Linked DNA regions of Ovis aries. The protein of the gene in region 1 interacts with the protein of each later gene in a pairwise test. Links are inferred from orthologs where the notes say so. Each region holds a gene or a part of one and is shown on either strand. Other genes may lie near its edges. The genes, in order: MORN3 and RSPH1.

What was found.
Region 2: the proteins of MORN3 (region 1) and RSPH1 interact in binary tests that used the Homo sapiens proteins (3 or more experiments, as listed by UniProt). The two-hybrid records come from large-scale screens. The link is inferred for Ovis aries from reciprocal best matches to the Homo sapiens genes MORN3 and RSPH1.

What each region holds. Positions count from the first base shown.
Region 1 is NC_056070.1:53,626,214-53,630,024, forward strand, and holds part of MORN3 (MORN repeat-containing protein 3), read left to right. Parts: intron 1-486; coding exon 487-646; intron 647-3,811. UniProt on the Homo sapiens protein: Assembles a suppression complex (suppresome) by tethering SIRT1 and MDM2 to regulate composite modifications of p53/TP53.
Region 2 is NC_056054.1:263,452,520-263,456,884, forward strand, and holds the start of RSPH1 (radial spoke head 1 homolog), read right to left. Parts: upstream 3,081-4,365; 5' UTR 2,995-3,080; coding exon 2,941-2,994; exon of another isoform or gene 2,767-2,940; intron 773-2,766; coding exon 659-772; intron 557-658; coding exon 451-556; intron 1-450.

The DNA.
Region 1 (3,811 bases):
AAGCTAGCCCCTTCAGGTGTGATCTGTGGGGACCCCATGGTGATTCTCTGCGGTCACATGATAAGTGCTCATGTTCATTTTTCTGGGGAGAAACGCCATAGCTTTGATCTCATTGCCAGGCATCTGCAACTTTTAATAGGGTCAAATCAGAGTTGGGAAGACAGAACAAACGTGATCAGACAGGCCATGTAAAAGATCCTCCCAGCAGTCATATGGCAGATGCATGGGATGAGGGGGAGAACCGGAGAGTGGAGGAGGAAAATCAGTGAGAAGGGGCGAAATGATGGTGGGCTGAAGGAAGGCGGTAGCACAAGGGTAGCGGGAAATGGAAGGCCTGGGTGATTTTACAAAACAGGACCATCCGCTTGGATGTAGGGCTTGGGGAGGAAGGAGGGAAGAAGCCCAGGTGTTTTGGGTACCAGGGAGGATGCTGGGAGTTCCCAGTGCTGTGGGGCGCCATGAACAAGGACACCTTCGTGCTTTCAGGGCTATGGGATCCAGTTTTTCGGACCCAAGGAGTATTATGAGGGTGACTGGTGTGGCAACCAGCGCAGCGGGTGGGGCCGCATGTACTACAGCAACGGAGACATCTACGAGGGCCAGTGGCATAACGACAAGCCAGAAGGGGAGGGCATGTTGCGCCTGAGTGAGTGTCCAGCCCCGTCCCAAAGGCCTGCTGGCCACGCCCACTCGGCCACCCCGTCAAGGCACAGTTCTCCCGGGCCCTGCAAGGCAGAGCCCTGGCCACGCCCATCGGGCCACGCCCCCGCATAGCCCTGCTCGGAATGGGGGGTTAAGGTGAATGACAGGAGACAAGACCTGGTCCCTGCCCTCGGGGAGTTTATACTCTAAAAAGGGTGCCTAGCAATAAATATAAACAATTAAGACTTTGTCTTTTGGTCCATAGTAATCATAGCCCACACTTAGGCAGCCCTGAGCTCATTATAGTTAGTTCAGTCGCTCAGTCAGGTCCGACTCTTTGCGACCCTGTGAATCGCGCGGCACGCCAGGACTCCCTGTCCATCACCATCTCCCGGAGTTCACTCAGACTCACGTCCATCGAGGCAGTGATGCCATCCAGCCATCTCATCCTCTGTCGTCCCCTTCTCCTCCTGCCCCCAATCCCTCCCAGCATCAGAGTCTTTTCCAATGAGTCAACTCTTCGCATGAGGTTTCCAAAGTACTGGAGTTTCAGCTTCAGCATCATTCCCTCCAAAGAAATCCCAAGGTTGATCTCCTTCAGAATGGACTCGTTGGATCTCCTTGCAGTCCAAGGGACTCTCAAGAGTCTTCTCCAACACCACAGTTCAAATGCATCAATTCTTCGGCGCTTAGCTTTCTTCACAGTCCAACTCTCACATCCATACATGACCACTGGAAAAACTATAGCCTTGACTAGACGGACCTTTGTTGGCAAAGTAATGTCTCTGCTTTTCAATATGCTATCTAGGTTGGTCATAATTTTTCTTCCAAGGAGTAAGCGTCTTTTAATTTCATGGCTGCAGTCACCATCTGCAGTGATTTTGGAGCCCCAAAAAATAAAGTCTGACACTGTTTCCACTGTTTCCCCATCTATTTCCCATGAAGTGATGGGACCAGATGCCATGATCTTCATTTTCTGAATGTTGAGCTTTAAGCCATTGTTTTCACTCTCCTCTTTCACTTTCATCAAGAAGCTTTTAGCTCCTCTTCACTTTCTGCCCTAAGGGTGGTCTCATCTGCATATCTGAGGTTATTGATATTTCTCCCAGCAATCTTGATTCCAGCTTGTATTTCTTCCAGTCCAGCGTTTCTCATGATGTACTCTGCATATAAGTTAAATAAGCAGGGTGACAATATACAGCCTTGACGTACTCCTTTTCCTATTTGGAACCAGTCTGTTGTTCCATGTCCAGTTCTAACTGTTGCTTCCTGACCTGCATATAGGTTTCTCAAGAGGCAGGTCAGGGGGTCTGGTATTCCCATCTCTCTCAGAATTTTCCGCAGTTTATTGTGATCCACACAGTCAAAGGCTTTGGCTTTGTCAATAAAGCAGAAATAGATGTTTTTCTGGAACTCTCTTGCTTTTTCCATGATCCAGAGGATGTTGGCAATTTGATCTGTGGTTCCTCTGCCTTTTCTAAAACCAGCTTGAACATCTGGAAGTTCACAGTTCACGTATTGCTGAAGCCTGGCTTGGAGAATTTTTACTATTACTTTACTAGCGTGTGAGATGAGTGCAATTGTGCAGTAGTTTGAGCATTCTTTGGCATTGCCTTTCTTTGGGATTGGAATGAAAACTGACCTTTTCCAGTCCTGTGGCCACTGCTGAGTTTTCCAAATTTGCTGGCAGATTGAGTGCAGCACTTTCACAGCATCATCTTTCAGGATTTGAAATAGCTCAACTGGAATTCCATCACCTCCACTAGCTTTGTTTGTAGTGATGCTTTCTAAGGCCCACTTGACTTCACATTCCAGGATATCTGGCTCTAGGTGAGTGATCACACCATCGTGATTATCTGGGTCATGAAGATCTTTTCTGTACAGTTCTTCTATGTATTCTTGCCATCTCTTCTTAATATCTTCTGCTTCTGTGAAGTCCATACAATTTCTGTCCTTTATCGAGCCCATCTTTTCGTGAAATATTCCCTTGGTATCTCTAATTGTCTTGAAGAGATCTCTAGGCCTTCCCATTCTGTTGTTTTTCTCTATTTCTTTGCATTGATCGCTGAGAAAGGCTTTCTTCTCTCTCCTTGCTATTCTTTGGAACTCTGCATTCAGATGCTTATGTCTTTCCTTTCTCCTTTGCTTTTCACTTCTCTTCTTCTCACAGCTATTTGTAAGGCCTCCTCAGACAGCCATTTTGCTTTTTTGCATTTCTTTTCCATGGGGATGGTCTTGATCCCTGTCTCCTGTACAATGTCACAAACCTCCGTCCATAGTTCATCAGGCACTCTATCAGATCTAGTCCCTTAAATCTATTTCTCACTTCCATTGTATAATCATAAGGGATTTGATTTAGGTCATACCTGAATGGTCTAGTGGTTTTCCCTACTTTCTTCAATTTAAATCTGAATTTGGCAATAAAGAGTTCATGATCTGAGCCACAGTCAGCTCCTGGTCTTGTTTTTGTTGACTGTATAGAGCCTCTCCATCTTTGGCTGCAAAGAATATAATCAATCTGATTTCGGTGTTGACCATTTGGTGATGTCCATGTGTAGAGTCTTCTCTTGTGTTGTTGGAAGAGGGTGTTTGCTATGACCAGTGCATTTTCTTGGCAAAACTCTATTAGCCTTTGCCCTGCTTCATGCCGTACCCCAAGGCCAAATTTGCCTGTTACTCCAGGTGTTTCTTGACTTCCTACTTTTGCATTCCAGTCCCCTATAATGAAAAAGACATCTTTTTTGGGTGTTAGTTCTAAAAGGTCTTGTAGGTCTTCATAGAACTATTCAACTTCAGCTTCTTCAGCATTACTGGTTGGGGCATAGACTTGGATTACTGTGATATTGAATGGTTTGCCTTGGAAACGAACAGAGATCATTCTGTCGTTTTTGAGATTGCATCCAAGTACTGCATTTCGGACTCTTTTGTTGACCATGATGGCTACTCCATTTCTTCTAAGGGATTCCTGCCCGCAGTAGTAGATATAATGGTCATCTGAGTTAAATTCACCCATTCCAGTCCATTTTAGTTTGCTGATTCCTAGAATGTTGACGTTCACTCTTGCCATCTCCTGTTTGACCACTTCCAATTTGCCTTGATTCGTGGACCTGACATTCCAGGTTCCTATGCAATATTGCTCTTTACAGCTCATTATATCCACACTACAGTT
Region 2 (4,365 bases), on another chromosome or scaffold:
GATGGGGAAGATCCCCTGGAGAAGGAAGTGGCAACCCACTCCAGTACCCTTGCCTGGAAAATCCCACGGACGGAGGAGCCTGGTAGGCTACAGTCCATGGAGTCGCAAAAAGTTGGACGCAACTGAGTGACTTCACTTTCACTTTTCACTTGTCATCACGCAGGTGACAGTGGTGGGGGGAGCAACAGTGAGGTTCATGTTAGGGGGCAAGAATCTTCCTGAGACGTAACTCTGCCATGTAACACAGAGGTTACAGCTACGGCAGAGTAAGAACACCTCCCAGAGCAGAAGCCCTCAGGGAAAGAATCATCATCTAAAAAAACAACTCCAAGGAGAAGAAAACCACCAAGCACCAACAGTCTGGGTCCACCCTACTACCCCGGGTCTACCCTCACCCCACAGCTTCCCTACCCCCCCAGCAAGAAGGTTTGCTTCGTGGTAACACTTCACCTTCATATCTCGATCCATCTGGGTAGATGAACGTGCCTTGGCCGTGCTTTTTGTTTCTAACATATTCTCCGACGTACCGAGCACCATTTTTAAATTTGTAGATCCCCTGAAACACAGTGATGATATAATTTATATCACTCCTGAATTTAATGATTGCTAATAGAGCATTAAATCGGGAAAACCACCCATTCAAGTCACCGATTCTGACCTGGCCATGTCTTTTACCATGCTCATAGCTCCCTTCATATACGTCCCCATTGGGCAGTCTCGCTTTTCCGTGTCCGTGCCGTTCACCTGCCTCATTCCGTTCCCCTTCATACTCCTGGACAGAAGATAATCACAGCTACTCTTTATTAAGCATTAACCATGTGCTAAGCATTTCATAAATTCAACAGCATTCCACTGAATTCTCCCAACCCTTGACCTTGTCTTACAGGTGAGGTAGGCTCCAGGCCTGGGTGACACGGAGCATCAGTCCAAGCTCACACAGCTGGTACCTGTTCATGGCGGACTTTCACTCTTTCCCTCCACTTTATTATGATAATCCTTTACACTGTAAACAAAACCAACCACTTGGGGGAAAATGCAAGATAGTCCAAGTTGTGTCCTTTACAAGGACATGTTGGAAGTATTAATAGCATTTGCAGGTGGAGCAGGTCCTGAACCCACCTTCCTCCAATAATCCATAATTTAAAATACAAATCATCCCTGGGTGTCCATGGCCTGAAGACAGCTTTGACCTTGAGGAAAGCTCTGATGTCAGGAGAGGAACAGGGGGAGCTGAGGAATGAACCAGGCTCAATGGTCAGCTTGAGTTTCCAAACTCAATTCAGTTTAACTTATTTTTAAACTCAAGAGACTTAAAGTTCAAACACTCATAACCCAATAGGAAAATAATTACATATCTACCTTTATAGTGGGCTTCCCTGGTGACTCAGATGGTAAAGAATCTGCCTGCAATGCAGGAGACCTGGGTTCGACCCCTGAGTTGGGAAGATGCTCTGGAGAAGAGAATAGCAACCCACTCCAGTATTCTTGCCTGGAGAATTCCATGGACAAAGGAACCTGGAGAGCTATAGTCCATGAGGTTGCAAAGAATTGGACACAATTGAGCAAGTAACACACACATACACACACACACACATCTTTAAAGTAAATCAATAAAAAACAATACTAGTGTCTCATTTCCCTATTGTCTCTATCCTTCATAAAAGACATGTTTCTCAAGCACCTAATTACATGGGTGTATTGGAGAAGGAAATGGCAACCCACTCCAGTGTTCTTGCCTGGAGAATCCCAGGGACAGAGAAGCCTGGTGGGCTGCTGTCTATGGGGTCACACAAAGTCGGACACGACTGAAGCGACAGCAGCAACAGCAGCATGTAAATAATAAACAATGAAATGGCAAGGGCACAGAGCATGATCTGACCTGGACTTGGATCTGGATAGACATTAGCACAAATTCAGACACATTGGCATCCCGCTCCAGTACTCTTGCCTGGAAAATCCCATGGACGGAGGAGCCTGGTAGGCTGCAGTCCATGGGGTCGCGGAGGGTCAGACACAACTGAGCGACTTCACTTTCACTTTTCACTTTCATGCATTGGAGAAGGAAATGGCAACCCACTCCAGTGCTCTTGCCTGGAGAATCCCAGGGGCGGGGGAGCTGCCATCCATGGGGTCACACAGAGTCAGACACAACTGAAGTGACTTAGCAGCAGCAGCAGCAGCAGATACATTAAATCAAGGGCTTCAGGAAAAAAACGTTTTTGCAGTTTTTGTGCTTTCCTAGCACTGTTTGGCTCAGAAATTCATGCTCAGAATATAAGGCAAACTTTTATAACCTTACAAATTTGTTTCAGGGTTAGTCTAAATCAAAATGTATAAAAGACTCCCCTTCCTTCCCCAGAGACTCCTAATTATACCCAAAACGAGCCGCAAGGTTGGCACCTTTCTCAGTCCCTTGGACAACAAGAAGATCAAACCAGTCAATCTTAAGGGAAATCAATCCTGAATATTCATTGGAAGGACTGATGCTGAAGTTGAAACTTCAGGATTTTGGTCATCTGATGTGAACAGCATTGGAAAAGTCCTTGATGATGGGAAAGATTGAGGGCAGAAGGAGAAGAGGGCATAGTGGAAGGGTCGGAAGAGTCCAGCTTGGGATGACCAGCCATTCAAGGAAACTGCCTCCATGGAGGGTAACAGCAGGACGCTTTCAAAGCCTTCTATTTGGAAATCTTTGCCTTTAACGGGAGGAGGAATGGTGGAGGAGGGAGCGAGAAGGGATGTGGTAAGCAGACGTCATAACGTTTCACCTTTCAGAGCCAACTTACAGGACGCAGCGCCCGCTGTGGCCAGCATGGTCCTTGTCCTTGGCTGGGCCTCCCGGAGGGACTGTGGCGGGCCTCCAGGCCGCCCCACTCTCTGAACCCTGTTTCCAAGGGTCCACGCAACCCTGGGAGCTCCTCCCTTACCCGGAACTCTCACCCCAAGATCATTCTCTCCCTCCTCTTCCAACTCCTCCGAGCCCAGGTCCGACATGGCTTCGCCCCAGTCTGGATGCCCGCTGCCGCCTGCGCCTTTCTAGTCGGTAGGTACCAGCTGCCTGCACCACCGCGTCCGTCGTCGCCATGGAGACACGGCCAGGCTCTCTCCCTCCCAGCCCTGGCCGAGAAGCTGGGAGGCAGGGGAGGAGTAACCGTTAAGGTTCGGGTGCTGTCATAGCAATGGGACGCAACCGCCAACCGCCGGTTGCCTTCCCGGAAGAGAGAGGGGTGGGGCCTGGGACCGGACAGCTTGGGAAGGAGCCAATGCCTGCCTTCAGGTGCTGTCATAACAACGTAAGGAGAGCCTCGGCCAATCGTCACCCAAGGAGGAGGGGGGGCGGGGCCTGAGGCGTAATGGGTACCCACCTGCTCTCTTACCAGGACACCCCCTTTAACCAGCGGCTGGGTGATGCTGAAACTAGAAGGGGTGGAGGAAGCTCATAAGGCCAGCTCTGGAAAGGGCCTTGCCCCTCCTAGAGGTGGACACTGACTCTTCTCAGCCCTGGCCCTTGGTTCCTTGGGTCTCTCCATAGGCCCTGCCTGCCCCTCATTACCTTTCTGGGCTCTTCCGACCCTTCCATGTTGGCGGTCCACAGAGATGCATTCTTTGCTATCTTTTCTTGTGTTTGTAAGCATCTTCTCCTGACTCAAGGAGTCAGCTCCAACTCATTAGCAGATACAAGTCTACCCTGATGCCAGTCAGGTTTGACAGCCCTCCTCCATCCCAGATGTGAGACCAGTCTCCTGGGAGTTCCCAGTGGAGCTTGCTCCCTCACACACACGCACGCACATTCACACTCATTCCCACTCTTAAATGGGCCTCTCTTAAGCTTCCCTCCAGTTATCTGACACTCGGTCTGCCCAAGACCCCTCATGATCTCCTTCCCAGTTCCTCTTGTCACCACCCTGATCCAGGCCTTCTTCCTCCCCTTGTTAACTCTGGCAATAGGCTCTGGTTCAGCCTGTTTGTCTCCAGACTTAGGCACTCTTAACCACTTCACCCTCCTCCTCTACTCGGAAACCCACATGCAGACCAGACTGCATGCAGACCGCTGTATTCACTATCTCCATATTCAAATCCCAAGTCATCCTCTCAGCCTTCTGGTCCATCAACACCTTCCTATACTTGTTACATGATTCAGATAAAGCAAACCGTGAAAAAAAAAAATAATAAATAAATAAATAAAGCAAACCGTGAGCACTGTCCCCAGTACATCCTTCACGTCCCCTCCTCTGTGCCTTTGCCTGTGCCAGATGCTTCCCCTGGAAGTCTTCCTTCTGATGGCCTTGCCTATAGCCAGAGCCATTCTTCAAAGACTGGCTAAGGAACCACTTCCAGAAAATGCTCCAAATTCATGATAAGGAT